Linked DNA regions of Arabidopsis thaliana. The protein of the gene in region 1 interacts with the protein of each later gene in a biochemical or structural test. Each region holds a gene or a part of one and is shown in the gene's direction. Other genes may lie near its edges. The genes, in order: NBR1, APG8H, APG8A and ATG8C.

Region 1 (9,078 bases):
GCTGGTACGGAGGGAACCACCCGTATGGTGCCCCAATGGGTCCTGGGGGTTTTCACATGGATCCTTTTCCATTTTATCCTACGCAAGTTCCACCTGCTCCTGGACATGGGGCTGGTCCTAGGGGTAATCACGCTAATAATGAAAGAATGTTCAGACCTCCAATGCTTGACTCTTATGTCCACCCAAGGATGCAGACTAGGCCTGGGTTTTATGTTGGTCCAGCGCCACACGAAGGCTACTATGGTCCTCCCATGGGGTATGGCAGTCCCAGCAACAGAGACCTACCTTTTGCAGGTAGGCCTACTGGTCCGCATGCTTATAACAATCATTCTGGTCAAGGTGGATATGATACGCCTGGAAGTTCAGTGTCTTTGGAACGGAACGAGTCATCACATTCTCAAGAAACACAAAGGCCATACAAGGTTCTCCTAAAGCACCAAGATGGGAGGTTTGGGGAAGATAATGCAAAGCGGGAAGAATTTCTTGGAAATAGGCTCCCGAATGCAGAGAAGATAGCTCAACAGATGCAAACTTCAAGAAACGAGAGGAGAGAAATCAGAAATGACGCAAGTGGTGAAGTACAACCAGTCAAAGCAGAACTTGCTGCCCCTGGAGATCCTAGTTTGATTCAGAAAATCGAGGGCTTAAATGCAAAAACTAGAACTAATGATGGTTGGCAAAATTCGTCATCTGTTGTTAATAGAGATGAGCAGGAAAGCCAACCACGTACACTCAATTCTGGGAACTCTGCAAATAAAGTTTCAGCCAGAAATCATCGAACTGGTCATGCAAGTGACAGTAAGAACTCATCACACTATAATCAAGGTGATTCTGCCACAAACAAGAATGCTGAACCCGCAGCTATGGGTGGAACTAGCATATTCAGGTCAGTTATCATTTTTCAATTGTGTTTCGGCCAGTTATGCCATCCTTTATGTCGGGAAAGTTTTGATGTTAGTACCTACAGGAGACCTACTCAACAGACTCAAGGCAGAGCAGATCCGCAGACCAAACGAATAGTGAACAGTGAAGGCAATGATGCTTGGCAGAAGACAACTGTTATGTCAGGCTCCTCCCATACAACTTTAGCTACAAACACAGAAAGCTTTCGCGAGGTTAATGTCGATGACTCTTTGGATACCGAGTCCATCAGGAGGCCTGGGTCGGGAATATCAGCAGACCCAAAGGATAACCAGGTATAAACTAGTTCATATGATTCTGGTTGTTATTTATACTTTTATGTATCTCTTGTTTGTAGTCATCCTTTTTTGGTTTGACTGAGTGTTTGCCATGTTCCCTTAAAAGCGTTCTACGATGAGAGAGTTAGCCAGGCAGCGTGCTCAACAGAGGCAGAAAGAGGAGGAAGAAAGAGCGAGAGATCAGCGGGCTAAGGCTCTTGCAAAACTAGAAGAGTTAAATAGACGTTCCCAAATATATGAGGAGGGTTCAGTTAAGAACATGGAAGCTGCATCTAATGCTTCTCCGGCTGACATGCCAACAGATCCTGGATCTCATTCATCTAATGCTACAAATTCCGTAGAACCTACTGGAGGATCAGGAAAAAACACAACGCAAAACACGAGGACTTCAACAGAATATGCAAATAATGTGGGCCCTTCCCAACAGGATAATCTTCCACGTGATGGCGGTGCCTCAAAACAGAAGCGCTTGGGTTATAAGCAGAAGCAAAATATTATATTTGAGAAAAAACCGACAGGGAGCTCTGTTGCTACTGCAGAGGTGTTTGATGTTGTCCCGTCTCCTGAGGTTGTTAATGAAGGTGTCTCAAGCAATAACTCAGACATGCCAGCGACGTCAACCGTTTCAGCTGAGTCAACTTTCCCGAAAAGAAAAAATAACAGGAATGGTAAGAAAAAACACAAGGCTGAGGAGACAGCAACTATGAATACTACAAGAGTTGCCGTTGGAAAAGAAACAAAATCGGGAGATGAGTCAATTGAGACTGCTAGGGCAAGGGCAGCTGAAATTGAGTTGGGGTCTGTTTCAGTTCCAAGCCTGGATATCAAAGTGTCTGGTGATTCGTCTGAACAAATCAGTTCCTTCACTAATGAAGAGTCTCAAAACAGAGCTAAAAACAACTGGAAATCTCAACATGTGCGTAGGACTCAAAGAAACTCACTGGTAAATAAGCCTGCAGAGAAATTTTCTGGCAACAATGCTGTTATTTGGGCTCCAGTACATCCACAGCAAAAAGCTGATGTTTCCACTGGTGGAGGGAGTCAGACTACTGTCCCTGAGTTTGGCACCTCTTCAAAAAGTCAGCATCAAGGACAGACTAGTTCTAAAAGCAAAAGAGTGGAAATTGAAAGATATGTACCGAAGCCTATAGTAAAGGAAATGGCTGAGCAAATCGTCAGTAAAAATCTAGTAACCTCTGCTCCAGATATGTCGGAGAATGTAAACCAGAAAGAAAATCGTGGAGGTGAGGGTACAGGAATTCTCCAACCTTCTGGTTCAACTGCAGGGAAATCTGGGTCTCCTTCAAAGTCAAGACATGGGAATGGTAGGCAGGGAAAGCATGGTAGAGAACATGCATCATGGCACCAGAGAGGTTCTGGAGCACCTACTAAAGCTTTGGAGGATGGACAATTTGTAACCTCAAATCAGCCCATCCGAGGAACAGTGAACTATCACTCTAGTAAGCAAACCGAACAAATTGCTGCCAAGGATCAAACCACATGTAATAAGGATGGATGGAACGATGGCTGGTATATGACTCCTGAAACGCATTACTCTGCTGCCGAAGAAATGGAATCCAGTGCTGTTGGAAAAGATCAAGGAATGAGCATGCACGGCAGGCAGCATGCTTCAAGAAGCAACAAGGATGGAGGAAGCAACTATGGTGACCCTAAAAAAGGCAATAAGAGGGATTTCAATAAAGCTCATACGCAGCACTCTGGCCATGGGTTTAGCCAACCAGATTTGCCTGCTGCTTCAAAAGAAGGTCGTGTCCCTGGAGATCATGTGTGGCATACAGCTAATAGGACAGGTAAGTATGGTGGTCGTGAAAGTACAAGGGACAAACCTTATGGATCTCAGGAAAAAAATGTTGTTGGATACGAGCATCAAGGGTTTACTACAGAACAAAAAACGACATCAGCTGATACACAAGCCCAGTTGCAAAACCGATCTACCAATAAGGAGGTCCAGGTTGAGCAAAATCCGAATAGTATGTTCCAAAAGAACACAGGGCAGGGTCGACGGTTTGGAAGAGGGCAGGAGTCACAAGGAGGTTGGGGTTTACCGGCGCAAGAGAATATGCACCATCACCATCAGAGGCCACCTTCAAACAGAGATAGACAGAAGCAAAATCTGCATTATGAATACAAACCTGTTGGGTCTCATACTTATGATGGAGAACGTAGTCGAGAACAATCGAAAGAGAGTTCTCAGACAGAAGGTCCAAGATACAGAGAGAAGGGACAGGGGCAGCAAAGGCAGGGTGGATACCAACAGCAAAGGGGTACTAGTGGGAGAAACGGTGGTCATGGATTCACTGGTGATAGAAACTAAGATTGGCCTCTTATTGTTATTTAGGTAGTAAGAGCTGCCATGCTGAGGATACTTGCATTTTGAGATATGGCGATTGAGGAAGCTAATTCGTAGGCACATAGCTTGGGAGATTGCTGAGAGGAGACCTATCCGAGGAGGTATTGGCAGATTAAAAAAAAAAAGTCTTTGTCTTGAGAGTTTATTATTATATGTTTCAGTCACTTGTTTGAATATGATTATAACTACTGTAGTAGCCTTTTGTATACACTAGATGAATACTCATGAGTATTTTTGTTTTTAAAGTTGCTTAAAAAAATATGATTATGTTTTTTGGTTGATTTTGATGTTCATTTTGATAAATTCCTATCTATTTAATATAATTTTTTTATTTTATGATTAGATTTATCTATAACTCGAAATATCAATTCTAGTATAATATATATATTTATATCTATTATTCTAATATTTTATTGTCATGATCACATATAAAAACAATATATGATATATTGATACAATGTATGCGTTTTGAAACTTGTCTAAATTAATTGTACAAACAATTATTTATTCCATATATTCTCTTGTCATCAACTACACAATCACATCATGATATGCTAGTAATTCAAGTCACACTTTAATTCTTTTCACTTGCATATAGCCATATAGAATCTCATATTTTTTTTTTTGTATGTCGAATGTCGAATGTCTCAAATGACTATTATATTATAAAATTGTATATCAATGTTACTAAGTTATTAGAACGCACCAAAATGTACAGAAAAAGTTCATATGATAAATTATATTCACAAAACGTAATAATAAGAAAATATCTAATTAAATTTACTAAATTTATATGAGGTTAGGTAGCAAACATAAGAGTTTTAAGAGTTTGGATTTTGGAATTGGTGGTGTTTGTTTCTCAAACTTCATAAATTAGAGTTTAAAATGTTTTTTTATTTTTTGTGGTCGGCATAAGAGTTGAAGTTTTAATAAAATAAAATAGTATCTGATCATTTTATTGGAGAAAACATAAAAGATGTAGTATTTTATAAGAACTCGAATTGGTCAATTTTCAAAATGTTAGTATGAAAAATAAAATATCTAGTTATATGTACTCGTATCTCTTGATATTTTTGGCTTTAACTTAGGGATGTTAGTTTGATTTGTCTTTCTGGATAAGCCAGTAGTAACCAAAAAAGTCAAAATCTTGTTGGCTAAGTCAGAAATTAATTAAATAAACAAAAGGGCCCATTAAATTAATTATTTTAATAAATATTCTGTGTAATGATATATAGTATAAAACGCGACCGTCTAAATTCTTGGTTGTTTACGAGAAAAGCGGATTACGGGTACGCTTCTTCTAAGATAAATCTCTCCCCGATTCTCTCTTTTTCTCGCTAGATACTCTTTTTCTTCAATTAGGGTTTCTTCTCGCTTGCCTTTTAATTCTCTCCAGCTGATCTGATCTCCGTTACCGATGGAGTCTACTGCTAACGCACTCGTCGTCAAGGTTAGAGATACAACCTTCCTTTCTTTATTTGCGAATCGTCAGTTTTCTCACAGTAATTGTCGGTGATTCTGGGTTTTCGTGGCGATCGTCTCGTTTCTGTTGATTTTGTTGCTTGTAATCGGTCCTTTCCTTTTGAATTTCGCTATGGATCGACTCTCTCTCTCTCTGTCTCTGTATTATAATCTTAAGTGTAATTCGAAAATTTTCCAGACATACTTAGCAGTATCTGCTTGAATCTTATACCCGAACAATGATTAAAACTATAAGTTATCGTAATTAGAATCGTAATCTATTTCTTCGACAATTTTTTTTCATTTTTTTCATTGAAGTGATACTAATTTTGTTTGTGATTATGTAGGTGAGCTATGGAGGTGTGCTTAGGCGTTTCAGGGTGCCTGTTAAAGCTAATGGACAGCTTGATCTTGAAATGGCTGGTCTTAAGGAAAAGATCGCTGCTCTCTTTAACCTCTCTGCGGATGCTGAATTGAGTCTGACTTACTCTGATGAGGATGGGGATGTGGTTGCCCTTGTTGATGACAACGATCTCTTTGATGTTACTAATCAGCGTCTTAAGTTCTTAAAGATCAATGTGAACGCTGGCGTGTCCACTAACTCTGCTGCTCCAGAGAGTAGTGGGAGTTCCACACCTGCGGGTATGCCTAACCCGGTTTCCAAAATCCAGAAGGGTATAAATGATGTTCTGATGGCTGTACCTAACCCGATGCGTGATACCATATCAAAGGTGTACATGGACCTTGCATCCAAGGCCTCAACTTCTAGTCCTGTAGTTGGTGAGATGCTTGATTGCATTTCCAAGCTAGGGCAGCTCTCAATTCCTCAGGAAAGTAGTCCTTGCTCACCTGTTACCAAGCCTGGTTCTTCAGGTGCTTCCCTGAGCAGGGATGTTCCTTCCGCTGGTGGAAAGAAGGATATCTCTGAGAGGACCCAGACCGGAAGGAAACCTGTTAATCTGAATGAACCCACTGGCGCTCATTCAAAGACTTCTGGTCATGTACCAAACTCGTCTGGACTGGGTGCTAATTTCAACGAGTGTCCCTTTAGTGGCAGTACCATGAATTACTCCTGTCCAAATCCAGTTAACCTCAACAAGCATCCTCGTCGTGTTTGTCATTCCAAAAAGAGCACCAATGGTGATTACTGGACTTCATTGGGTGTATTCCATAAGGGCATCCGTTGTGACGGATGTGGAGTTCTTCCAATTACTGGGCCTAGATTTAAGTCGAAAGTGTAAGGATGCCTTCTACTTACTACTTTAGAAACTATAAACATGCTAGAACTTATTGTGCTTATATGTTTCGCTTGTGAATATTGTGCAGTAAAGAAGACTATGATCTGTGCACCATCTGCTATTCGGTGATGGGTAACGAGGGGGATTACACAAGAATGGATAAGCCTGTATCCGTTCAACATCTGCATCCTTTTAGAGGACCGTTTACCCAAGTATTGCTCTTCTTCTAAGTTTATAATTACTTTTCTTCTTGTTTATTCTATGTGTCTTCTCTGATAGCTATGAGGAATTCTTACCCTTTTTTTTTTGGTATAGTTTCCTAATCCTTGGTTGAGCCACCCTGTGCCACGAGCAACCAATGGAGGTGCACCTCTCAGGTGTACTCGCCCTAAACTAGACAGTCGGTTTGTCCTTGATGTGAATGTAATTGATGGAACCGTTGTTGCTCCATCCGCCCCATTTACTAAGATTTGGAAAATGAGGAACAGTGGTTCGCTGGTGTGGCCACAGGGCACACAGATTGTCTGGATCGGTGGGGACAGGTTCTGCAACTCCTTGTCAGTTGATTTACAGGTTAGAAACAATTTCCTTAGTTTTCACTCTTTTAGCTCGATTCTTACCACTAACAGAGCAATTATGTTGTTTGAATTTACACTCGATGGCTTGAGTTAGGTTGTTTTCTTCACGAAGTGACTATAGCTGCTTGATTATATAATACTAACTGTTTTTTTCTCTCTTTACACATGGCAGATTCCAAAGGAGGGTGTGCCTATCTATAGTGAACTTGACGTCAAAGTTGATTTTGTTGCACCAGAGTTACCTGGTCGATACATTTCTTATTGGAGGATGGCTACCTCTGACGGTGCTAAGTTTGGGCAACGTGTTTGGGTGTTGATACATGTACTTACTAGATTTGTGCAGCTTCTGTCCTTTAATTCTTTGTCTCTTTCTATCATATGTGTTTGATACATTTTTTCTTTTTGCATGGTTAGGTTGATGCATCTCTGAAGAATTCTGTTGTGAATGAGTTTCATGGACTGAACCTTAATGCCTCCCCCTCCCTTGATGAGAATTTTCCAAGCGAATTTCTAGGGATTATGAATTATGAGTCAGCTCAACCTGGCAGCTCCAGTGTCAATCCTGGGACCGTGAAAGGTACTGATCTAGAGGGCGAAGTTGGTGAAACACAGGCCGTGGAAAAAGAAAACCTTTTGGTTGGTGAAGCTCATCCTGCTATCCCTCACGGTCATTCTCCTTCATCTTCATCTTCTTCATTTAACATGGTCGACTTCCCAAGCATGCCTGCTGTTGAGGTCTTGTCTGGTGGTTCTTCATCTACTACAAAAGACGTGCCAGTTCCTCTTCAGGAGGATATAGAAAAGAATGACGTGGAGATAACCATGCTCAAGGAGCTCGAGGAAATGGGTTTCAAGGAGATAGATTTGAACAAGGAGATCTTGAGGGATAACGAGTACAACCTGGAGCAGTCTGTTGATGCTCTTTGTGGAGTTAGCGAGTGGGATCCAATCCTAGAGGAGCTTCAGGAGATGGTAAGTGTGTCTGCACTTGGTGAATTTATTAAATCTTACTTTGCAGATTGGAATGTTGAAAATATTGTGATTTTGCAGGGCTTCTGTGATGATGTGACGAACAAGAGACTGCTGAAGAAGAACAATGGAAGCATCAAAGGCGTGGTAATGGATCTCCTCACAGGGGAGAAGGAGGCTTGATGAGCTCTTTGGTTTCTGGCAACTCTTCTCTATCTCTCTTATCTATCAGGAATAATTATGTTTTATAAATAAAACCTGATCTCTTAGTTTGGTTTCGTGCTGCGTCACATGGTCTGTTCCTTTGCTTTGTGTTGGGATGATGTTACTATGTTAACTCTATCTAAGACATGGATGGTTTCTTTCTTATTTCAGTTTAGTTTATGTCGTTCTGCTCCTCGGGTCAAATGAATGGTTGAGTCTTTTTTATTGATTTCATCACTTTAGGCCTTTTTGGTCTCCATTTCTCAGCTGTATTTGGCTTAATGTGAGTTTGTGAGAAGAGCTTTCCTTGAAACAACGTACTGTTTTAATTCACATTTACCCTCTCATCTCTCTCAATCAGGTGACATTTTCACGTGGTCGAATCATCGGCATGGCAGTTGCAATTAGTCATGGTGGTCGGCTTCATTAAACTGTTTACAACTGACAAAACTTTGTTATTCTATCCATAGAAACCATTCAAAAACCAATAAAAGTTTTTGAATAGACCAATAAAAGACATTCATAATTGATTTCACTTTTTGAGAAAAATTTACAAGTTTGAAGTAGTAACATGATGAGTTTGTTAGAATCTCTTTGAAGACGAACGAGTGAACAAACTCCTAAGGCTGTTTCTGCTGTCTCTAGTTTTCTTCTTCTTCATCTTCTTGAGGCCATCATTATCTGAAGAAGAGAAGGTTTGTTCTTCTAAAGTGAGTTCGCGTTCCAGTTTCTTAGAGACCGAAAGAATCTCGTAGGGATCCCACAGCGACTGTCCGAATTCCCAATCCAAAAACGACGGATGATGCTTTGCGGACAAGGCTTCCGTTTTGAAACGTGATGCCTTCCCTTTGACAAAAGCATGCTTTCTCTGCGCATCGAACTCTAAAACAGTATGTTTTGAGGTTTGGGAGTGGCTGAGCCAAGCCTGCGCAGCTGCCTTCATCAACTCTAGTCTCTTCTTCTTCTCCTCTTCTTCTTCTTCATTTTCATCTTTAGCCTCTCGTTTCTTCCTCATCTCTCTTCTTCTTCTTCTCCATTTTGGGACTTTTGGGGATCCA
Region 2 (7,246 bases), on another chromosome or scaffold:
ATATACCTAGTTTTTAGTTTCGAAAATTTCTAAGTTAGATTCAAAATAGATATACTCAATTTATGCATAGATATACTAATTTATACATAGATATACTTTTTAAAATTTCTAAGTTACAATATCAACAAAGATATACCAAATTCATACATAGTTATACTTTTCTAATTGTGTAAAGTTTAAAGTTCATACCGCTCTATCGTCGTTAGAGATTGAATTTGTTGCTTCAGAATCCACTTCAACAGCCGACGCTACTACTACTTCGTCATTGATTGTCTGTGAAACCACCACCTCCGCCGCGGACGCCACCGCCAACGGCACACATGCGTTCTTTGTTCGAGCCATTTCTCCAAACCTACAAACAAAATCATTTGGATTAGCACTACTCTTCAATCAATTTCGATCACAAAACCCAATCTGAAACAACTCGAATCAAATCGACGAACAGTTAAATCACTTACCCCAATTTCTTAGTTTCCTGTAGATATACCAAGATCGACGAACAGTTATATTGTTGTCGTTGACGAGAATTGAGAATGATTTTACTGGATTTTACAGTGAAGAAATAAAGAAGAAACAAAGGAAAAGAGATGTGAATCGATTTTACCGCAGAGAATTAGGGGAATTAGGGTTTTATTTGGATTTGACCCGAAAACAGTGGACTTGGATTATTTTAGGATCCATTTGCCCTGGTTGGGTTGTAATTAAGCAATATTCTTAGGGTTTTCTGAGTAATTTACTTCGTTTACGGAATAAAAAAAATCAAAAACAAATTTTTATAAAAAGAGTATATGAGATTACTCTTCAACCAAGAGGAGCCGCTGAGAATTTGGTCCCCTTGGCACGTATAAACCCTAGCAGAGACATTAAACCCTGAAAGTAATTAGGGATCACTGTTCTCCGGCTCCGGCGAAAAAATCCCTCGAAATCGTAATTCTCTCATACGTCTCCATTTCTGGGTTTAGCGTTTCAGCAGCTTCCATTTCAGATTCTGAAATTCACCGAATTTTCTCTGTCTTTTGTGTTTATTCTACTAGAAGATTCTTACGGCTTGTTAAAATGATTGTTGATACTATCACTGTCGACTCTTATTTGTGTTGTGTTGCTTTTCAGGATCCTAACCTCAATTGATTGAAGGAAGTTATGTATTCGCTTTCGAGGATTCTCCAAAGGTAAAAAGCTTTCTAATTTATAAATTTTGGTTTTTTTTTTCAATTTTTAGAGCTCTTGTGTGTGGTTTAGCAGCAAGCAAATTAGATCTTCTCTTATGGGGTTTGTTATGATTTATTTGAATTGAAAGTTTTATTTTTTACTTGATTGTGTCATTTAGGAGTCAAAGATATAACTTTGCACCTTCTTCGTTTGGTGCGGTCAGTAAATTAGAAGTATCAAGTGGTGGTGATAAAGAACGGGTCTTTAAATCATTTGGATTGATTTATAGCAAACCTCAAGGTTTAGTCAGACTTTATTCCGCAAGAGATGTGTTTTCACGGTTCTTTGGCATCCACAAGCTTTCTTCTATAGCTGATGCTAAAGATAAAGGAGATGAGGTAGTTAGGGAAGAGGAGCTGTCTGAATCAGAGGAGGCGGTTCCTGTTTCTGGGGATGTACCAGAGGGAGTTGTTGATGATGATTCTTTGTTCGAGCCTGAACTTGGTAGTGACAATGATGATCTTGAAATTGAAGAGAAGCATTCGAAAGATGGTGGGAAACCAACTAAGAAAAGAGGTCAATCTGAGCTGTACGAATCCATTGTTGCTTATAAATCAGTGAAACATGTTCTTGAAAAATGGGTCAAAGAAGGAAAAGATTTGAGTCAAGCTGAGGTTACTCTTGCTATACACAATCTGCGTAAACGCAAATCCTATGCTATGTGTTTGCAGGTAAATATGTTCTCATTTTACACTTTGCCAAATCTTTTATTGTTCTGTCTCTATCACCCTCTTAATGTGTATGTCTTTGCTTGGGCTTTGGCATTTGCAGTTGTGGGAGTGGTTGGGAGCTAATACGCAGTTTGAGTTCACAGAGGCAAATTATGCTTCTCAGTTGGATTTGGTGGCCAAGGTACATAGTTTACAAAAAGCTGAAATCTTTTTGAAAGATATTCCAGAATCTTCTAGGGGAGAAGTAGTATACAGAACCCTGCTGGCAAATTGTGTACTTAAGCATCATGTAAATAAAGCTGAAGACATTTTCAACAAAATGAAAGAGCTAAAATTTCCAACAAGTGTGTTTGCTTGCAACCAGCTGCTTCTCCTCTACAGTATGCATGATAGAAAGAAGATAAGTGATGTTTTGTTGCTAATGGAGAGAGAAAACATCAAGCCGAGTCGTGCTACCTATCATTTTTTAATCAATAGTAAAGGTTTAGCCGGAGACATAACTGGAATGGAGAAGATCGTGGAGACAATTAAGGAAGAAGGCATCGAACTAGATCCTGAACTGCAGTCTATTCTGGCTAAGTACTACATAAGAGCGGGGCTTAAAGAAAGAGCACAAGACCTTATGAAGGAGATAGAAGGGAAAGGTTTGCAACAAACTCCATGGGTGTGCCGGTCATTACTCCCACTTTATGCAGACATAGGAGACAGTGACAATGTGAGAAGACTGAGTAGGTTTGTTGATCAAAATCCGAGATACGATAATTGCATTTCTGCCATTAAAGCATGGGGAAAGCTGAAGGAAGTCGAAGAAGCAGAGGCAGTGTTTGAGAGACTTGTGGAGAAATACAAAATTTTCCCTATGATGCCATATTTTGCCCTCATGGAGATATACACAGAGAACAAGATGCTAGCAAAAGGCAGAGATCTGGTTAAAAGAATGGGAAATGCAGGGATTGCGATTGGGCCGTCGACATGGCACGCGCTTGTGAAGCTATACATCAAAGCAGGAGAAGTTGGAAAAGCTGAGTTGATATTGAACAGAGCTACAAAGGATAATAAGATGAGACCTATGTTCACTACTTACATGGCGATTCTTGAAGAATATGCAAAAAGAGGCGATGTTCATAACACAGAGAAGGTATTCATGAAAATGAAAAGGGCAAGCTATGCAGCTCAGCTTATGCAGTATGAAACCGTGCTCCTGGCTTATATCAACGCCAAAACTCCTGCTTACGGGATGATTGAGAGGATGAAGGCAGACAATGTGTTCCCGAACAAGAGTCTAGCTGCGAAACTGGCTCAGGTTAATCCGTTTAAAAAGTGTCCAGTGTCTGTTTTACTTGACATATAACGATAATCATCTTATGTATTGAGCTGTTAAGTGTTTGTTCTGGTTGCTTCCAAGCTAGGAAATAATAAACAGAGGATTCGTTTTTCTTCCAAAGTTTCTCATTTTTGAGTTTGTGTTCCTGTGGTTTTTTGTAAGTGACATAAACTGGAATAAAATTGAACTGGACTAGAGGTACGTGGAAAAAATTATCGAACCGAAGCAAAAACTAGACTAGTAGAAATTGGAAGACGAAACCGAGAAGTTGAACCGTAAATAAATAAACACATCAGAGCCGACATGAACCGGGTTGGGTATATCCAATGACGTGGGACCCAGCAGATTATAAGAGAATTGAAAAATACAAAAATGCGGTGAGCGTGGATCGAACACGCGACCTTCAGATCTTCAGTCTGACGCTCTCCCAACTGAGCTATCCCCGCTTTGTTGTTACCTTAACGATACGTCAAATAATTAATCTCTAGTTTAAATTTCTATTTTCTCAATTATTCCTTTTGACTTCGCCGCTTGCTTTTGAGAGACGGAGACAAAAACACACACGACGAAGAAATCTCCGGGCGGTCGAAGAAGATGAAATCGTTCAAGGAACAATACACGTTGGGTTCGTTTCTATCTCAAGATCGATCACCGTTCTCTAATTGTTCTCTGGTTGATTAAAAACGAAAGTAATCAATAACCTTATCTCTTATCTGCAGATGAAAGGCTCGCGGAGTCGCGGGAGATAATCGCTAAGTACCCTACTCGGATTCCAGTAAGTATATATCCAGCTCAATTCTAATTCCTTTTCAAATTGATTCCTCCGATCTCTTCAATTATCCGATGTACCCGAGAAGATGATTTTGTTTGTTTATGTTCAATGACAATGAACTTCTAAACCTGGAAATTTTTCTGAGAATTGGATAATTTTGTAGGTAATTGCTGAGAAGTATTGCAAAACGGATCTGCCTGCCATCGAGAAAAAGAAGTAAAAATTTCTCATCTTAAGATTTTGATGATCTCGTCTTGCCTAGCTTATGACTTGTTTGATTACCAAAATCATCTTTGGTTCAATTTATGCTTTACTGAAAGCTAATTTATCCTATAACTTCAAAGATTCATACACATTTTTAGGAGTTAAATAGCTGATTTAGTTTCAAAGTTATCACTTTTGATTTGAATAAGTGGTTTCAATATGATCTGAGAGTTGTCTTTGAATGTTAGGTTTCTGGTTCCAAGAGATATGTCAGTTGGCCAATTCATCTACATATTGAGTGCTAGGTTACATTTGTCTCCTGGTAAAGCCTTATTCGTGTTTGTCAACAACACTCTCCCTCAAACTGGTGAGTTTCTGCTTCAATTGGGTTTTGCTTCTAGGCTTTTTCTAGGAATAGTTTGTTTGATGTCTTCTGTGTTTCCTTTTCTCTGCAGCTGCTCTGATGGACTCGGTCTACGAATCTTACAAAGATGATGATGGATTCGTTTACATGTGCTATAGCAGTGAGAAAACCTTTGGTTGATCCAATAATGATGTTAGTGTCTGTGTACATATACTTTAAACATAAGATGTTCACTACATCAAAAGACATCAAACACTTGTTAAGCTTTATATGACTGCTGCTTGTTTTATCCTTAGACTTTGTTCATCTGTGCACAATCGTTCTACTACAGTCTCAGTTCCAACTAGTATTTCCCCTTAACGCTCTCTTTGTCATCATTGTTTATCTTCCTGAAAATGCAAAAGACCAATGGATTGTTTTACTAGGGGAAGAGTTTTGTGCTTCCTCTCCAGCAAGCACCACGAAGTGGCCACCAACCGGCAAATAGTTCTGGCTACTTTTGGTATCTTTATTAGATTCTGGTTCAGGCTCTGGGCTACAAACATAAGAAATAAGACTTGACATTGTAAAGGTAAAACACTAAACAAAAACTTGGAAGAATATAGAGGAAACAGTGTGGAAGAGTATACACATGTATTGTCTGTCTGATATCTGGATAATCTTTCCAAGTATAGAGTTAACATATTCGCAATTTCTGATGGTAAATGCCTAGTGTTTATATATTTGTATTGTGGCTATTTTTTCTGTTCTTACACCTTTTCTGGCTTCTAATTACATAATGGCTTGTGCATTCAAGAACTCCAATCTTCTTTTAAGAAAATAGAGGCTCTTCTTCTGAACAAAGGTATACTTTTCATTACCATCAAAAGCCAACATAATCAAATGTGCTTGCATCCTTCAAATGTCTCAAGGCAGAAAATTTTGGTGACAAATTCCAAAACCATGAACGGTTTTCAGTGCTTTCAAATGTGTGCCCAAAAGGTATAAGCTTTGTTCTGAAACCTCTGGAGAGAAGAAGAAAAACCAGCCTTGTCTAGAGGTTGGAGTTATTTAGCTCTTGATTTACATAAAAGATGAGTGAATATAACTTTATGTCAAGGAAAGTAAAAAAAAAAAACAAAGAACAGCCAAACCCATATCTGTAAATGGGCCTTTAATGGGCTAAACCGGTTGGTATGATTTCGCACTCGTGATGTGATGTGATAATGAATGTGCAATGGGAATAAAAAAGAAAAGGAAGAGAGAATCTTATTTTTGGCATGTACGTATGGTTGTGAATTGTGATAATACAACCGGCATATGGTCATGATATTCTAAAACGGGACCATTCATTGTCGTCTTATTTACAAATCACATGGAGAGAAGGATATTACAAAATATCGAAACAGAGAGACTATGATTTATTTGTCTTCTTCGAAATATTGGTTTTTTTTAGCTAAATGCATAGAAGCTTATCTAGTTAGTCTCTTTCCACGGTCAAAATTGTAGTCGTTCGTGAATGTACTTCGTGTGTTATGATTTATGAAAAAATCTATACAAAACAGTTACTGTTTGAAAATGTGTCAAACGAAATGATCCTTTTTAGGTAATTCTTATCTTAGACGACCAAAACCAAATTAAACCATAATGATGGAGTTTAGTTTACAGTCAGAATCAAAACTAAGAATGTAACTAAAAATCGTTCACTGTATATAGTAATTAATTGGTTAACACTAGAATACAAATGCCATTTAGCATCTCAGAGTAAGACAATGACAAGTCTATGCATTAATTTCATTCTCTTTGTCATATATATAAGGTAAAATATCTCTATAATTGTTTTTAATATACAAGGCAAATCAAGGGAAATTGTCTTCATCCTTCTCTTATCCCTATCTTCCTCCACAACCTCTCAATCCTCTCACATTAGGATTATCTCTAATCAAAACCGTAGCACATATTTAGATCATTATACATATATTCTTATTCAGCTGAATTCATAATACAGAGTAAAATCTATGCTACATAATGGATAATCTTCAATACATCTTTGCATATTCATATCATTCTAGTAACCCTCAATTTTTAATTTCTTTTTAATCAAACGATGTTTTAGCATACATATATTTTATTTTTTTTGCATGGAACCTATATAAATTTGAATCCGAAAATATAATAAAATACTTTTTCATGTAGTCATTTTTTTTTTTTTTAATAGTCAATAATTCTATCTGAACGAAATATTTTTTTTTCAATTTTAAATCAGAAAAAATGTTACGATTTGATTGTCGGTCACTATTAGGCAGCTACAATGTATCAATAAATATTATGTTTATCAATTTTTCACGAAAATGAAATCTAACTAATTCGTTCGTTAGTTTCTAAAAATCGCAAAACTTTTTGAAATTCTGTGGAAGTCATGATTATGTTCTGTGATGAGCTTTTCGAGCAAAAAACCATAAAACCAAACTTTAAATAAAAAGACCATCACTTCACTTTGCTCTCTTCTATAGAAAATCATCTTCTACTACACTACACATCGAGAGCTCACTGTGAAGAAAAAAACTCGAAACAAATGAAGAAAACACTTTCGCCGGAACCCGTCACCATCTACGGCAATCGCCAAGAAACCTTCGTCGGTGATATGGAGTACTACACTTACTTCGACGAATCTTGTATCCAAGACATGAACTATTTCGTCAAAACAATCACCGGCATCAAAT
Region 3 (7,220 bases), 1.1 Mb from region 1:
TCCTCATCTTCTGCGAGGTACATTCCTAAAGGCAACGAGGTCTCTGGAGGGGCAAAACAGTCATCTGCTCCAATGAATATTCCTGACTGGTCCAAGGTTTATGGGTATTCAAAGAAGAACACAAGCAGCCACTTGCATTCATGGGCCATTGACGATGATGATGAAGGCTCAATGGTTCCTCCACATGAGTTAGTAGCAAAAAGACTTGCAAGAACGCAGATCTCATCATTCTCTATGTGCGAAGGAATCGGAAGAACGCTCAAAGGAAGAGATCTCAGCAAAACAAGAAACGCTGTCTTAACAAGAACTGGTTTCTTGGAATCGAATATCACATCTTCATCAACAACATCACCACCATAGTTTTGGCATGGCATGGAGCATGGCTGGATGATCAATATCACATTCACACAAAACCCTTTTTAGCACCATACCATATCATTATCATGAAAAAAAAACCTAAAACCTTATGGTATCCACATGATTTTTATTAAATATCAATGTTATTGTCGTTATCACCATGTAGGGAATCATGACACTACCAATATGGTTGAGTTCTCTTTTTTTTTTTTTGTTGTTGTTGTTGTTGTTGTTGTTAGGTTTTTGGATTTTTTTAGATAAGTATGATGACGATGAGGATGACTTGTCAATCCCATGCATGGGCCCATACCATTTTTCTCATGTTATGTTTGTAGTTCTCAATGGTCTTTTAACTCTTTAGCAGTGCTTAGTGAGCTTAAATTATAGTTTAGCAAAACAAAATGGCATATACTTTGGAACCTTTGAATGTGAGAAATTTGAAAGCACTCTCGATCTCTTCACCATTTTGGCCTCGACCAAGAGAGAAAAATGTAGCGAATAATGTTAACATTTTTGGTCCGACACAAGGTTAAGGGGCTCGTTCCATATTGCTCACTACCTTTCACTTTTCAATGTTATATAGCAACTAGACATGGTGTTACTAGGGGAATGGGGTATATGTATCTGTTATCTATTTCGGTGTGTTGATTTAATTTTTTACTTCGTGTATTCTTGAACCAATCTGCAACTGAAAAAGTTGTATTTGAATTTGGATTAATTCGTTTCGTTGCTAAATATCCATTTCAAGATATACATAATAAATATATTAGTTAATTTACTATGGTAAGATATATTTTCAAGAATGAAGTTGTATAAATAAAAATACTTGTTTCGATAATTTTCAGTTTTATTCACGTCGGTACTATCTCACCCGTACTAAATTTGAATTGCCGACAAACAAAAAAAATGTCAAGTTCGGTTGGATTTTTTATTTTGTTTGGATCTACTCAATATATAAATAGTACCAATCACACTATAAACGAAATTTACTCATCTTTCCTTGGCCCTAGCAACGGTTCATGATAATCATTCTTTCTTTTTACAATTTACTTTTTCGAAATAAAAAATTGTAGTAAAATTACAGTTTCAACTAAAAAAAAATCTTGTACAGAGGTGCCACAAAAATGCAATTCAATTTTATATAAAAATACAACGACAACAAATTTGTTACTTTGTCAAAGCGGATTATTTGGCACGAAAAATTCGTGCGGAACCGCTACATATCATTTTTGTAAATAATTTTCTTCAAAATTGGCTCGTTTGAGTCATAAATAACACCTGATGACAAAAAAAAAAAAAAAATTTTTTTGTTACTTTGTAAACTTTTGCTAACCAAAGCCTATATAAAGGCCCAATTAGCCCAAAACGACACAAAAATGTGTGAAGAAATAAACAGATGGTGGTGACGTAAGACAAGTGTAAGAGATTTCTTGTAATCCAATCAACAAATAATAATAAACGAATTCCAAGTGGTTTACTTATTCCAGAAACAGTTCCGTGTAGGCAACCATTAGGAAAACCCTAACTAAATTCCATTATTAATTTCTTTTATAATCCCTTTCTCTTGACATTGACTTCTCTCTCTCGATTCTTCTTCTCCAGTTTCAATCAAACTCAATTTCTTCTCAACGAACCCTAATTTCCAACAAATCGGATTCAGTTTCTTCTTCGGGTATGTTTCTTCTCACCAATAAATTCGAGATCTTTTAGGGTTTTCTGGGTTTGTTTCTCCCCCGATCTAGCAGACGATCGAGTTTATTAATTATGATCTTTGCTTGCTTGAAATTCGCAGAGACTAATCGAATCGCAATGGCTAAGAGTTCCTTCAAGATCTCTAACCCTCTCGGTTTGTTTCTTCAAATCCCTTTCTCATCGAATTTTCAATTACTTGATTTTTTGTTGAGTTTCTGAATTCTGTTAAAACTTGCTTTAGATCGTGTATGGTTTTGATTTTGGAACTCAATTTTGATTGGTTTTGGGATCAGATTTAATCTCTGCATACGCTTTTGATTCTTCCTTTGTTGTTCGTTTCTCTGTTTTTGTTTCTAAGCCAAGCTGTGAGATTTTATAGATATCTCTGTTTAATGATGTACTTGTCATTAATCTTGTGGTTATGTTTTGTTAATCAGAGGCAAGGATGAGTGAATCTTCTCGAATCAGAGAGAAGTACCCTGACAGAATTCCCGTAAGCTTACAAATTCATGAGTTGATTAACTTCTTTTCACTAAATTTAGTCTAATTTAGAATCTTGGATTGTATGTAGGTGATTGTGGAGAAGGCTGGACAAAGTGATGTTCCTGACATTGACAAGAAGAAGTGAGTAATGGGTTTGCTTTATTTACTCTTTTTCTATATCATAATCTTGATAACTTATGTTTCTTCCACTTTCTTTTAGGTATCTTGTACCAGCTGATCTAACAGTGGGACAATTTGTATACGTGGTTCGTAAAAGAATCAAGCTTGGAGCTGAGAAAGCTATTTTTGTCTTTGTTAAGAACACATTGCCTCCAACTGGTAAGAGTTCTTAAACTCTTTAACACCATTCAGGATCAAAGTTTCTTTCTTTACCACTAACTTTGGTTTCACTTTTGTTTCTTAACAGCTGCATTGATGTCTGCGATCTATGAAGAACACAAAGATGAGGATGGGTTCCTCTACATGACTTACAGTGGAGAGAACACTTTTGGATCTCTTACCGTTGCTTGAATAAAAATCGATCTTTGGATGACTTTGATGTACATACATAAATCAGGAAGATAAAGATGTACATTGCTTCCTTCTTTTCTCTGGCTTTTAACTTTGCTTTGGATGTTTGGATATCTTTCCCTTTGGGTTTATTAATCGTCAGAAACTTCTCCTTTTCTTACTTTCCTCTTTTGCTTTTACTTAAATAACATTGATTTTGGGGCTAATGAGTAATGAGTCACTTTCATATCAAACTTGTTCATATCCATCACAAAGGCAAAAAAGGAGTAATACACTGAAAATTGGTAAAAATAAACTCACAAAAGGCAAAACCTTGGCGTAATTATTTTTAACCACAGCTATACAAAAGGCTAAAGCTCCAAATAGAGATTCTCATCTTCACCTTCTTCATCTGTTCTAGCAATCTGGAACGAGACTGGATGGTCTATTATTGATCTCTTCGTCATCGTAGAGTCGGCGGATTTTATTGCGGATTTACCGAACAAGATTCAAGAAAGATGTCAAAGAATCAACATCTCTCTTCTCTGATGGATACTTGATTGGTCTTGAAGAGTTCTTTGGGAACACAAGTATTGTTGGAAAGCTTCCAAGCTGCAACTCCTTTTTGGCAAAGTCCTTCTGGTCACCATCAGCTCTAAACTTAGCAACCTTCACACCACTTCCTCCCAGCTTATCCGCCAATTCATCGAATGAAGCTTCCATTGCCTGACAAAACGGGCACCACGGTGCATAAAGCACAACGATCCAAGCCTCTTTCCGGTTCTCTAACTTCATCAAATTCTCAATCCCTTGCCTGCTCAAGTTCACAACATTCTCGCTATTGAAGATATCCGCGACTGAGGCTGTCCCGTTGACATTAGCGGTTGCGTTTCCATTGGTATTCTCCTTGATATTCCCTTTGTGAAGGCCACACTCTTTAGCCTTAGCATCTTCCCACCACCATCTCCCTTCTCTCTCATGCTGACCCGGCAAAACCGCTCTCGTGCATGGCTCACATCCGATTGAAACATAACCCGCAGCGTGAAGCGTGTTGACAGGAACATCCATCGTCCTCAAGAAATTCCAAACATCATTCCCTTCAACATTAGCAACCGGATTCCACTTCACCAAACTACCAACTCCACCATCTAATCCTTCAAACACTGGATCAACCTGAACAACAGGAATCTCCGATCTTGTCCCGGGTGATTGATCTTTCCTCTGACCAGTGATCCAAGCACGTAAACCCTTCAACGCACGCCTCAAAGGTCTCACCTTTCTAATACGGCAACACTCCTGGTGACCATCTTCATAGAAAGAGAACAAACCCTTGTTCCTAACTAAAGCTTGAACCTCAACAGCATCAGGAAACATATACTCAATCCGAATACCGTAATGTTTCTCCACGGTATCGAAGAGTCTATATGTTTCTGGATTCAATCTCCCTGTATCCAAACTGAATACCCTATAAGGTCTTCCAGTTAAATGAGCATACTCAATCAGAGCAACATCTTCAGCTCCACTGAAACCAAACAAAACAACAAATCAGCAAACTAAAGGAAAACAAAAACATTCCTTTATTGTATTCTCATGATTCAATTCATTACCTAAAGGCAATAGCAATGTCATTCCCAAACTTCTCAAGAGCTTTATCCATGATCTCAAGAGGAGAAGCATTCTCTAATCTCTTTGCTAGTTCCTCAAAGTCTTCAACTTCCACCACATCTAGCTTCTCTGTAACCTCTGTTTTGTAATGAAGCACAAGATCATTAGCATAAACCTTAATCAAATTAACCAATGATCAATTGAAAAATCAAACCAGAACTTACCAGAAGCAACAATGGATTCCTTTGTAATTGATTGCACATTAAGAGCTTTCACGGAGGATCTCTTCCCGGACAAACTCAGAGAAGCCGCAGAGACATTGGTACGATTCAATAACCTCAATGATCCGATTTTTGTTACTGTATTGAAGAATCAAACAAACAAATTGAATAAGATTCGACATTGATCGAATTTGAACGAATTTAAAACCAAAACACAATGACCAATCAAGGCATTTCTAAGATTCTCCACGAATTTGGTATTGAAAATGAAATAAATTACCTTTGAGATCTGAAGAAGGGAAGCTAGAGCTTGAGATCGCAGAAGAAGAAGATGAAGAAACGTTGATTGCTAGTGCCATTTTCACTCCAAACCAAATCTCTCGAAACAATGTTCTTAAGTTTTTTTTATTTTTGTGTTGTGTTTTTTCTAATTTTGTGTTCTCTTAAGATTTGTTGAGAGAAATGGGATTATAAAAGAAGCAGCTGAAATTTAGGTTCATTGAACCTAGACGTCTTTTTTTAGGTGGCGGCATTTGCTTTTCTATATATCATTGCTTGCGTCACTTTGGTCGTGTGGCAGAGAAAACTAGTCAACTTTGGTCCAAGAATTCTTTTTTTTTCTATTAATGTAACATACACTTATCTCAAAAACATTTTACACGCTTAATTTTATTTTAGAGCTAACAAAAATAATCTAATAATAAATTAATCTAATTTGTAAAATATAAACATGGTGATATGTTTGATTATTAATTTTAGATAAATACTTTCTCGTGTATTCTTTCCTTAAAAATCCGAAAAAACGATCATATTTATAGAATTAACTAAATAAAAACAGTTGAGATTTTCTTTCACTGAGATTATTTTTCGTTTGTTACGATTCTATCATTTAGTTTAACTTATCAATTTATCTACAAAACCTATCGATCTCTTCATTTCTTCTAGAAATTGCACGAACCGATATTTCATAAACCATATTTTACAGTCAAAATTAGTCTTGGTTGAAAAACAAATTCCGATCCTAACCACAAACACTTTTGGGTTCTGTTAAAAACAAACATAAAAAAACATCATACAAAAGTATATCAGAAGCAAACTTGTGATCTTAAACCTTCCAAGATTTCATAAGATCAACAAACTAAATTATTCTTATTCATCAACCAAGTCTATAGTAATCATGATCTCAACAAATCAATTACTTGTCTTCTTTAGCTTTCTCTTCTTCCTTCATCTTCTTTTCCCACCTTCTCTTCTTATAATCAAGCAACATCTGAGGCATCTTCAACATAAGCTTCGCAGTGTTCTCTCTTTTCTCAGCTGAAATTCTATCACATTTATGCCCTTTCCTCTTTGTCCTCATAGCTTTCCTCTCTGGATCATAAGGCCAATCTTCTCCATTAGTCAACACTTCTTTCCTCAGCATAGCCCTCCTTCGTGCACTTATCCCTAACGGTTTCCATGCTCCCATCTCCCAATAACCCCACACACCTTTCGTCAACTCGGTTCTGTACTTATCGAGTTTCGCCCTCCATGGATGTTGAAACCCTGTCACTGTCTTTGCCACAGCTTCTGCAGCTTTTCCAGCCATAACTTCTGCATATGCCCAAAACCACAATTCTTTAAAGATGATAATATCTCATTGTAATCCAATTAGCTCACAATAAGTTAAGAAACCTATAAACTTGCTAGCTAAAAGCAGAGGAGATCAATTGAAGGAAGGTATTATATGATAGTGATGCATAGAAGCAAAAAGATACAAACTTTGAATCCAAAGAGAGATTTGGTGATGCATAGAAGCAAAAAGATACAAACTTTGAATCCAAAGAGAGATCATAGTGAGAGTGAACTTGACACAACATTTCTTACAAATCAAACGCAGATTGGTTGAAATGTTGTTAAAAGAAGAGTCTTTGGAGACTAATTCTTGATTTACTACGCAGAAATGTGATGCAAATGGATCTAAATCCTCTAAAATTAGGGTTTGATAAGCTCAACGCAAGGATTTAGTGACTGGGTTTCGTTAACTAAACATCATCACAATCGATTTCGATTCCAAATCTAAGCCTCTCGAGTACGGGAGCAACTAGGTTCATCAATCTCTTATAGCTTAATACGAATCTACTTAGAGATCGATACGAAACTTGGAATCGGAATGAGAGAAAGAACTTACATAAAATTGGAGATCGGAGACTGTGAGAGCAACTTTGAGAACGCGGCGCTGATGAAGAACGCAGACAAGGGTTGGGTTTTTTGGCGTTAGTAAACCCTTTTCCTATTTCTTTTTTGTTTTCTCACCCAAATTATTTGTAATTACTTAGTATAAATATTTTAAAAATCATGTATATTTCCAAA
Region 4 (7,290 bases), on another chromosome or scaffold:
TAATGAATTCATTATCGCTAATAGTAGTATCTTCTCACGAATGTATATGAATTTTCTTCTTTTTTTCTGTCTTTTTTCTTGTTACTATCCTAACTTCAGAGCCTGCAGAAGATAAACATGAAAACAAAACTACTTAAAAAAAACTCTTTAAAATAATTTTAAATTGTCCTTCTCTTTTAGAAAACTAATTAATAAAATTATATAGAAATATAACATAAGTAAGAGCGTGATCCTCGACGATAGACATTGATAATACCTCATCTCTGTAAATATAAAACTATGCATAAGAGAATTGATATAGATTCATACCTTGATTGATCACATCAACTAACATAGAATCTTTAAACTATTTAAACGCGTGATATTGGCACGGCTCAATCAAATAAACCGATCTTTAAAACAAAAGAGTACGGTTTTCTGATTGAACCGCACCAATATCTCGTATTTGATGTCCGATAGTGCGCTCATCGACTCTTCAGTTGCTTATTACACCAAACTCCATCCACATATTAAAGAAAAACAAAACAAAAGGAAACCAAATAAGTCAAAGCAAGTAAATGATTGGAACAAATTGATAGGTAAGTTACTAGAGACAGGTACTTACCGTTAAACCAGTTTAGAAAACACGGTTCTTTTTTTAGCAGATATGAAAATGAGAAAGAGACAACATGAGCTATTTCAATGTTTTTTCTTGGGTTTGCAGAGTGAAGGAGATATAAATACGAAGAGGGTGATGAAGAAATGACAGAGGAAAACAAGCATTGAATTAGGCCAACAACCCCCACAACAAAAAGGAAGTTGGTTGTATTAAATTTGAAAAATATGTTTGTTTAAGAAATAGTGAAATACTTTTCGAAATAATAAATATCAAACAAAATATTTAGGTCGTCCGTTACAAAAAAAAAACAAAAAAAAAAACATTGAACCACTTTTAAGAATTTCATGATGATTGCTTGCTAGTTCTTGTTTATTAAAAAGTCCATAAGAAACAGCTAAACCATTATAGACGTTTCTCTCTTAAAAAAAAAACAAAATATACGACAAAATATATCATAATGATTTTCTTATAAGCCATGAAAAAGTTACTATTTTGTGATGGATATTCTCTTTGAGTCTATGATTACAAATTTATCGCATACTTCTAACACAAAAAAATACGTCACAATTTTTGTTAGGTGGAAAACGTGAGAATGTGTTAAAAATACGTTATTTTTGCGATTTTAGTTTTCATTTGTTTAACTTTATTTATAATTGGATTCCATCCTCATGAAACTTGTGAGGCAATATTTATAAATAATATTATTACATCTTGCATCTTGCATGTATTATGAATTATATATATGCTCTTGATCTCTCTCCTGACCTACGTAACGCCTCGACGGGGAAATCGGAACAATAACTACATGATATGTTCATGCATAAGCTTGCTTGGTCTACGCATTGTTCTTAAATCTGTTTGATGTCACTATGTCACACATGACACGTCCATATCTTTGATTTACTATTTTAACTCTAAAACGTTAACATAGAAGTTGAAAAAGTAGTCAGTTGATATTTGATAAGAAAAACAGCATTTATAAATCTCATAACGATATTCAAGAGGAACGTAAAATTTACTCAATTAGGTAGCTTTCATCTCCAAGTATATACACATGGGTCTATGAATAGTGCATGTACATGTAGTATATGTACATGTGACTTTTTATGTAGAGAGGTTTGTAGAATAAAATGAAATAAAGGAACAAGGAATGCCATAGAGCTTTCAAAATCGGTATTTATGAGGACTTGTATGAGAGACAAAGGCATGTTGGTGGGCTCTGCTACTCCCAACATCTATTTGAATTTTGAAACTAATTTGGTGGTTTCATTTTTGAAATACATCTATACTTCCCTCTTAATTTTACCTAGTAAAGTTTCTAGGCCTGGGATTTCGGCTAAACCCGAGGAAATCGAATGTTTCGGTTCTCGGCGCAGAGAGATAAAGAGAAGGCAAACCGTTCGGCAAAAATAATATTGTGATTCGGATTACGGTTCGGTTCGGTTCGGCAAGCTAAACCGATCGGTTTTCTCGGTTTAGAGGTACACCCTATAAAATAGAAGAAACCCTAGATCTATGTCAACAATTCATGTCGTCTCCTTCCTTTTCTAATCTTAAACTCTTCTCCTCAAGATCCTTCTTTGATCTTCTTCTCCTTCTTCAGTCTTCTTCTTCTTCGTTCTCAGCTTATCATATTCGTTTACTGCTGTGAAACCAACACTCTCTGGCATCAATCCAATTTTTTTTTTTTTCTCACCGCCGCGACATCAAATCTCTCGTCTAGTTGCCGGTGGTGGCAAACATAGACATCTGCACTATGTAGGAATTACAGATCTAGTCAAGCCGCTAATTATTCTTTCTTTCCCTTTGAAAGTCGGACGCGCATGAGTGAACGGCGTCTCCGTCACCGTCATCATTCTTCACTTGTCAAAAACCTAGATTTCAGATGGGCTTGGGCATGTTGTTTATTTTGGACTTGGACTTTTATTAGATTTAGCCCATTATTAATTTATTATTGTTGGTTTATAATTGTAAATTTAATAATTGAGCCCATAATTTTAATTTTGGTCTAATTCGGTTTGAATTAACCGATTTAGAAAAAGGGTCGGTTTAGTTCGGAATTGATTTTAATCCCTGTAACCGAACCGAAAAAACCGAGTACCAAACCGACCCGAACCGAAATTTAATTCGGTCCAATTCGGCAGAATTTTTAAAACCCCAAAAACCGATTTAACCGACCCGATTAAACCGACAAAACCGAACTCCCAGGCCTAAAAGTTTCTATGAAAATCCACTACTAAATTAAAAAAAAAAAAAAGAAAAGGAAAGACAAATGTTAAATTGCATCAACCAATAAAAATAAAGTTTTTGTTTTCACATTTTCTGTACCAAGCATATTAAAGTGTAGACTTTAAATGGTTGCATGCGACCTAATTCGTAAACAAAAAAAAAATCGTATAAATTTTTTGTTTTGTATCTTGTAAAATAAAATAAATCAACCAAATTAATGAGTCAAGACAAAAAAGTTCAACGAGAACCGAATGTTATTCTAAACCAAACCATAATCCGGTACAAATTTCCGGTTCTGCAGCAGGACAAATGGCAACAAAGGAAAGTAACGATGATAAGTTTGATCGAAAGTTTCAGACTTCAATAAGTTTTCAGTTTCGTGCATAGATTAGGAATCTCGAAACCCTAATTCTGTTTTCTACACGAAACCCATCAAAATCGAATTTTGATCGTTTCTAATTTCTGCCATTTGATTCTCTTCATCAGTCACATTTAGGGGAAACGAGAAGCCCTAATCTTTGGTATGTTGCTCCCTCTGATTTCGCAGTTTCTGGGTTTTTGTTTTCCTCTGCGAAATCCCTAATTGAATATCAGATTTCATAGATTGTGTTGATTGATTTTGGTGTTTTAATTTCAGATTCTTTAATCGCCATGGCTAATAGCTCTTTCAAGTTGGAACACCCACTAGGTAAAAACTAAAACTTTCTGGGTTTTGTTAGTGGATCACTAGAAATTATGGATCTTTGATTGTTACCCTTTTAAAAGAGACGATTTTGAATGGATTGTTAGAGACTTTGATATACGATCGATCAAATCTCTTATGTTTCTAATGATTGATCAGTTCACTGATGTTCTTTCACCATTATTTGGGGGTTTTGGTAATGGCAGAGAGGAGACAAATTGAATCTTCTCGCATCAGGGAGAAGTATCCAGACAGAATTCCAGTAATGTTTTCCAGCATTTATGTACCTCTCTGTGTAAATTCTTGCATGTAGCTTTGCTTTTGTAACAGAGGTAGTTCATGGTGTAGGTGATCGTAGAGAGAGCTGAAAGAAGTGATGTTCCCAATATCGACAAGAAGAAGTGAGTAATGAGTAGTGATATTCTGTTCCTGCTGTTCTTTCTTGTTGGCAACTTATGAGTTCTACACATCTTTTGTTTACTTGATAATCTAACAAGAAAGAGTGTGCCTTGCTTTGAACATTATCTTGAAGAACTTTATCTATGTGTAGTATTACGGAATGAGATTGATCTTCTATTGAAGACTAAAAGAGTCTTATATCAGGGAAATGTGTTGATCTGTGACTCTTTGGTTGTTGGATTCAGGTACCTTGTTCCAGCTGATCTAACTGTTGGGCAATTTGTGTATGTTGTCCGTAAAAGAATCAAGCTGAGTGCCGAAAAGGCTATCTTCGTCTTTGTGAAGAACACATTGCCTCCAACTGGTAAACACACAACTTCTTAGCATAAAAGCTGGTTTATGTTAATTTCGCTCTCATGAAATCCGCTGCTAACTTAGTACTGTAATCTACGCATACACTTCTCTGCAAATTCGAAACAATGATAAAAGATTTCTTTATTGATGTTTTTGCAGCTGCAATGATGTCTGCAATCTATGATGAGAACAAAGACGAAGATGGGTTTCTCTACATGACTTACAGTGGAGAGAACACCTTTGGTTTGGTTTAAATGTGTGCCTTCCAATGCTTTTGTGCTGATGTGTATATTATATGCTCTTTTATAACACTATGAATATGCAAAAGTTATATGTACTACTATTAATGTAAATGTTGCTTTGAATTTAAGTTGTTAGTTTGGGTTTTACTTTTGGACACACAACTTGTGTCATCCAACTATTATTAATTCTCTTTTACCATTTTTTGATCATCTATTAATATTTAGGCAATATATTTGTGGTAAAAAAGACATCTACTAAATAAGTAGTGTATCTTTGGTGTTATTTAAAATGAATTAAGTTCTCTTACAATGTCATTCATGTTTTTGCAAACACTGAGGTTGAATTTGACTATCTGGATTCTGGTGCGTACATGTTTTTTTTTTTTTTTAGTTAGCAAATCTAGTGTGACGTGTGTGGTAAACAATTTGTGAGAAAAGAAACAACTAATGATAAGCGAGGCCGCGTTGCCTACATGTTATTAAAATATTAAACCATGTCGTAAAGAACAAAAGACTTTCGATCGTGGGATGCACCAAAACGCATTAACTCATATGAAAGACAAAACAAATAAAAATAAATAAATAGATTGATAGATAAATTGAGATCTTAGGAAGAAACAATTTCTTCCAAAACATCGAAATTTAATGATTCTTTCTTATCTTTCAAGAATCAGAGTCTTTCTTCTTCTTATGGACAAGATTCTTCATCCACTTAAAACTTACGAAATCAACAATCTTGGCTGATTTGGTTTGGCCAGAGTTCTTACCGCCGGCATCTTTCTTGCTTTTGGTGTTGTCTTCCTCCGGCATCTCCCCGATCCCTCCGGTTCCCCATTGATCTGCCCAACTCGGTGCTTCACTTGCCATATTGCGATATCTTTTCGCAAACTAAATAGAAAATCATAGTTAGATATCAAAATGAATTCTTCAACCAATCAAAAGAAACATAATAAAAACATCTAGAGATACAAATTATTCGTTTTTTCATATTGGATCAAAACATGACTTACGTTCATAACTAAGAAAATAGAAGAGAAAAGAAAAATTACCTGTAATGTTTTGAGAGGTCTTCTTTGGAGGAGAAAGACGATTTTGATTTAGCAAAATGAGTGCCAACGCGGAGAATGGAGACAAATAGTAGATGTGTTGTTCTTTTCTTTATTAGACAAAGTGTAAAATATTGTAGTTTATGTTGTCTTTTTTTTTTTTTTTTTTTTTATCTTTAGATTTGTTAATGTGTAAGATATTTTTTTTTTAGGTTGTCTTTGAATGCACTTTATTAACTCAAGTTTGTTCGTTTCCGACTTGCGAAGCAAACATTGTTTTGGAATATTTAGGTATAAAGCATATGATATTGGTCGTGATTTAAGCCATCTAATTATGTCCCATTCCATGTGACAGATCTATCTTATGTTCTTTAGATTTACAGCTAAAAAGACTTTATTTTCACATAAATCTTATGCAATTCTAAGTGTTCTATTATGTATGTACTATATATTATTAACTTCAACTTCTAGTCTCTTAAGGACTCTCATTAGGTAATTCATAGGTTTTGTAGCTTTGTCAAGTTATTTAAATCGGATATACAAAGCCAGCTTGGAATGGAATGTAATCCAAAACGTCTAAAATGTGTCTTATGTAACCTAAAGCAGAACACTCAGTGATTGCTTTATCAAAAGTCATTAGTTCGAAGTTTAGTACAGAATACTATAACGAATATTAAAGCAACAAAAAAAAGTAAAAAATTGCTATAAAAAAAAAGTATTATTGTATCTAGAAAAGTTAATACAACCACCAATGTTGATCCATAAATAAAGGAAAGCATGAACAAATAGTTATTTTTCTTTTTATGCAATTTTATTTTTACTTTAGTTGGTGCTTCTATCTGAAAGCTTTTATTATTGAACTCTTTTAGACCATGACCGACGAAAAGAGTAAAAACGACAGCATTTTAATCATATGAAAAAATATAAATGTATAGTAAAGAAATACTACAACCAGCTTCTCTGTATTTTACTAATATCAGATTATCTACACTAAAAGAGGACTTGATTCGTATCTTTAATACCTCAAAGAAGATACTACTTAGTTCTCTTAGTAGACTTTGATTTCTTCATTTTACTACTATTACCTGACTTACTATTACTACTACTCATGCTTGTCCATTTATACCCAATTGGTATAGCGAATGGGTCCGGCGTTTGTTGCTCCTCCTCTTCTACCCGTCGATGTGAGCCTTTTCCGGTGGCTAGTCTCAGCCACGTCGATGGCCGTGAAATCGAATTTCGAGCATCGGGTTTCTCGCCATCGGAATGGTCTTCTTCACCCGCGGTGGCGGAGTAGAGGAATCTTGGGCTTGAGAGCGGCGTGTAGAATGTCTCCGCCGGCGGAAGCTCGACAAACTTGGTGAATGTGATGACTACTTTGACCGTAGGGACCACCGGAATAGACAGCTGGATCCCACAAGAAAGATTTTGTTTAGCATAAAGAAAGCAACAAATTTCATAATCATCTAAAGAATTTGACTTGGGTATTTAAAAAGCACAATTCCCCAAAATTAGAGATCTATAGAAGTGAAAAAAAAAGCATGGGTCCCTAAAAAAGCTAAAGCTTTGGTTCCTCCGTGACCCGTCCGTGATCTTGTCACGTCAGCGTTCCATTGACGAGACTAGCCAATGAGAACTTGACTCGTAAGTTGGTTTGACCCATTAGGTATAACGGTCGTAATGTTTTAGGCTTAGGAAGAACCCAAAAAGAGTAACAAACGGAAAAAGTGATTTACTGGT

The links.
Region 2: the proteins of NBR1 (region 1) and APG8H form a complex in vitro, tested with the Arabidopsis thaliana proteins (one study listed by BioGRID).
Region 3: the proteins of NBR1 (region 1) and APG8A form a complex in vitro, tested with the Arabidopsis thaliana proteins (one study listed by BioGRID).
Region 4: the proteins of NBR1 (region 1) and ATG8C form a complex in vitro, tested with the Arabidopsis thaliana proteins (one study listed by BioGRID).

Annotation. Positions count from the first base shown.
Region 1 is NC_003075.7:12,736,204-12,745,281, forward strand, and holds NBR1 (ubiquitin-associated (UBA)/TS-N domain-containing protein / octicosapeptide/Phox/Bemp1 (PB1) domain-containing protein), read left to right. Parts: upstream 1-4,828; 5' UTR 4,829-4,987; coding exon 4,988-5,020; intron 5,021-5,378; coding exon 5,379-6,268; intron 6,269-6,357; coding exon 6,358-6,481; intron 6,482-6,584; coding exon 6,585-6,842; intron 6,843-7,019; coding exon 7,020-7,169; intron 7,170-7,261; coding exon 7,262-7,819; intron 7,820-7,897; coding exon 7,898-7,999; 3' UTR 8,000-8,467; downstream 8,468-9,078. Other genes in the region: MOS1 (modifier of snc1), read left to right, coding at 1-886, 968-1,196, 1,306-3,534; AT4G24700 (uncharacterized protein), read right to left, coding at 8,604-9,035. UniProt on the Arabidopsis thaliana protein: Autophagic substrate degraded in the vacuole by non-selective autophagy. Requires ATG8 protein expression to be recognized as an autophagic substrate. Acts probably as a receptor for autophagosomal degradation of ubiquitinated proteins.
Region 2 is NC_003074.8:5,271,553-5,278,798, reverse strand, and holds APG8H (Ubiquitin-like superfamily protein), read left to right. Parts: upstream 1-3,703; 5' UTR 3,704-3,798; coding exon 3,799-3,829; intron 3,830-3,923; coding exon 3,924-3,979; intron 3,980-4,139; coding exon 4,140-4,192; intron 4,193-4,428; coding exon 4,429-4,547; intron 4,548-4,635; coding exon 4,636-4,724; 3' UTR 4,725-4,925; coding exon of another isoform or gene 4,926-5,108; 3' UTR 5,109-5,273; downstream 5,274-7,246. Other genes in the region: AT3G15590 (Tetratricopeptide repeat (TPR)-like superfamily protein), read left to right, coding at 1,141-1,169, 1,328-1,880, 1,981-3,231; AT3G15578 (uncharacterized protein), read right to left, coding at 4,926-5,108; AT3G15570 (Phototropic-responsive NPH3 family protein), read left to right, coding at 7,099-7,246. UniProt on the Arabidopsis thaliana protein: Ubiquitin-like modifier involved in autophagosomes formation. May mediate the delivery of the autophagosomes to the vacuole via the microtubule cytoskeleton.
Region 3 is NC_003075.7:11,653,747-11,660,966, forward strand, and holds APG8A (Ubiquitin-like superfamily protein), read left to right. Parts: upstream 1-1,866; 5' UTR 1,867-2,121; coding exon 2,122-2,203; intron 2,204-2,486; coding exon 2,487-2,542; intron 2,543-2,620; coding exon 2,621-2,673; intron 2,674-2,752; coding exon 2,753-2,871; intron 2,872-2,959; coding exon 2,960-3,063; 3' UTR 3,064-3,288; downstream 3,289-7,220. Other genes in the region: AT4G21970 (senescence regulator (Protein of unknown function, DUF584)), read left to right, coding at 1-360; APR3 (APS reductase 3), read right to left, coding at 3,538-4,564, 4,650-4,785, 4,872-5,006, 5,149-5,227; AT4G22000 (tyrosine sulfotransferase-like protein), read right to left, coding at 6,064-6,456. UniProt on the Arabidopsis thaliana protein: Ubiquitin-like modifier involved in autophagosomes formation. May mediate the delivery of the autophagosomes to the vacuole via the microtubule cytoskeleton.
Region 4 is NC_003070.9:22,929,738-22,937,027, forward strand, and holds ATG8C (Ubiquitin-like superfamily protein), read left to right. Parts: upstream 1-3,022; 5' UTR 3,023-3,348; intron 3,349-3,464; 5' UTR 3,465-3,478; coding exon 3,479-3,515; intron 3,516-3,715; coding exon 3,716-3,771; intron 3,772-3,857; coding exon 3,858-3,910; intron 3,911-4,153; coding exon 4,154-4,272; coding exon of another isoform or gene 4,273-4,292; exon of another isoform or gene 4,293-4,421; coding exon 4,422-4,516; 3' UTR 4,517-4,703; downstream 4,704-7,290. Other genes in the region: AT1G62045 (ankyrin repeat protein), read right to left, coding at 5,168-5,371; AT1G62050 (Ankyrin repeat family protein), read right to left, coding at 6,586-6,957. UniProt on the Arabidopsis thaliana protein: Ubiquitin-like modifier involved in autophagosomes formation. May mediate the delivery of the autophagosomes to the vacuole via the microtubule cytoskeleton.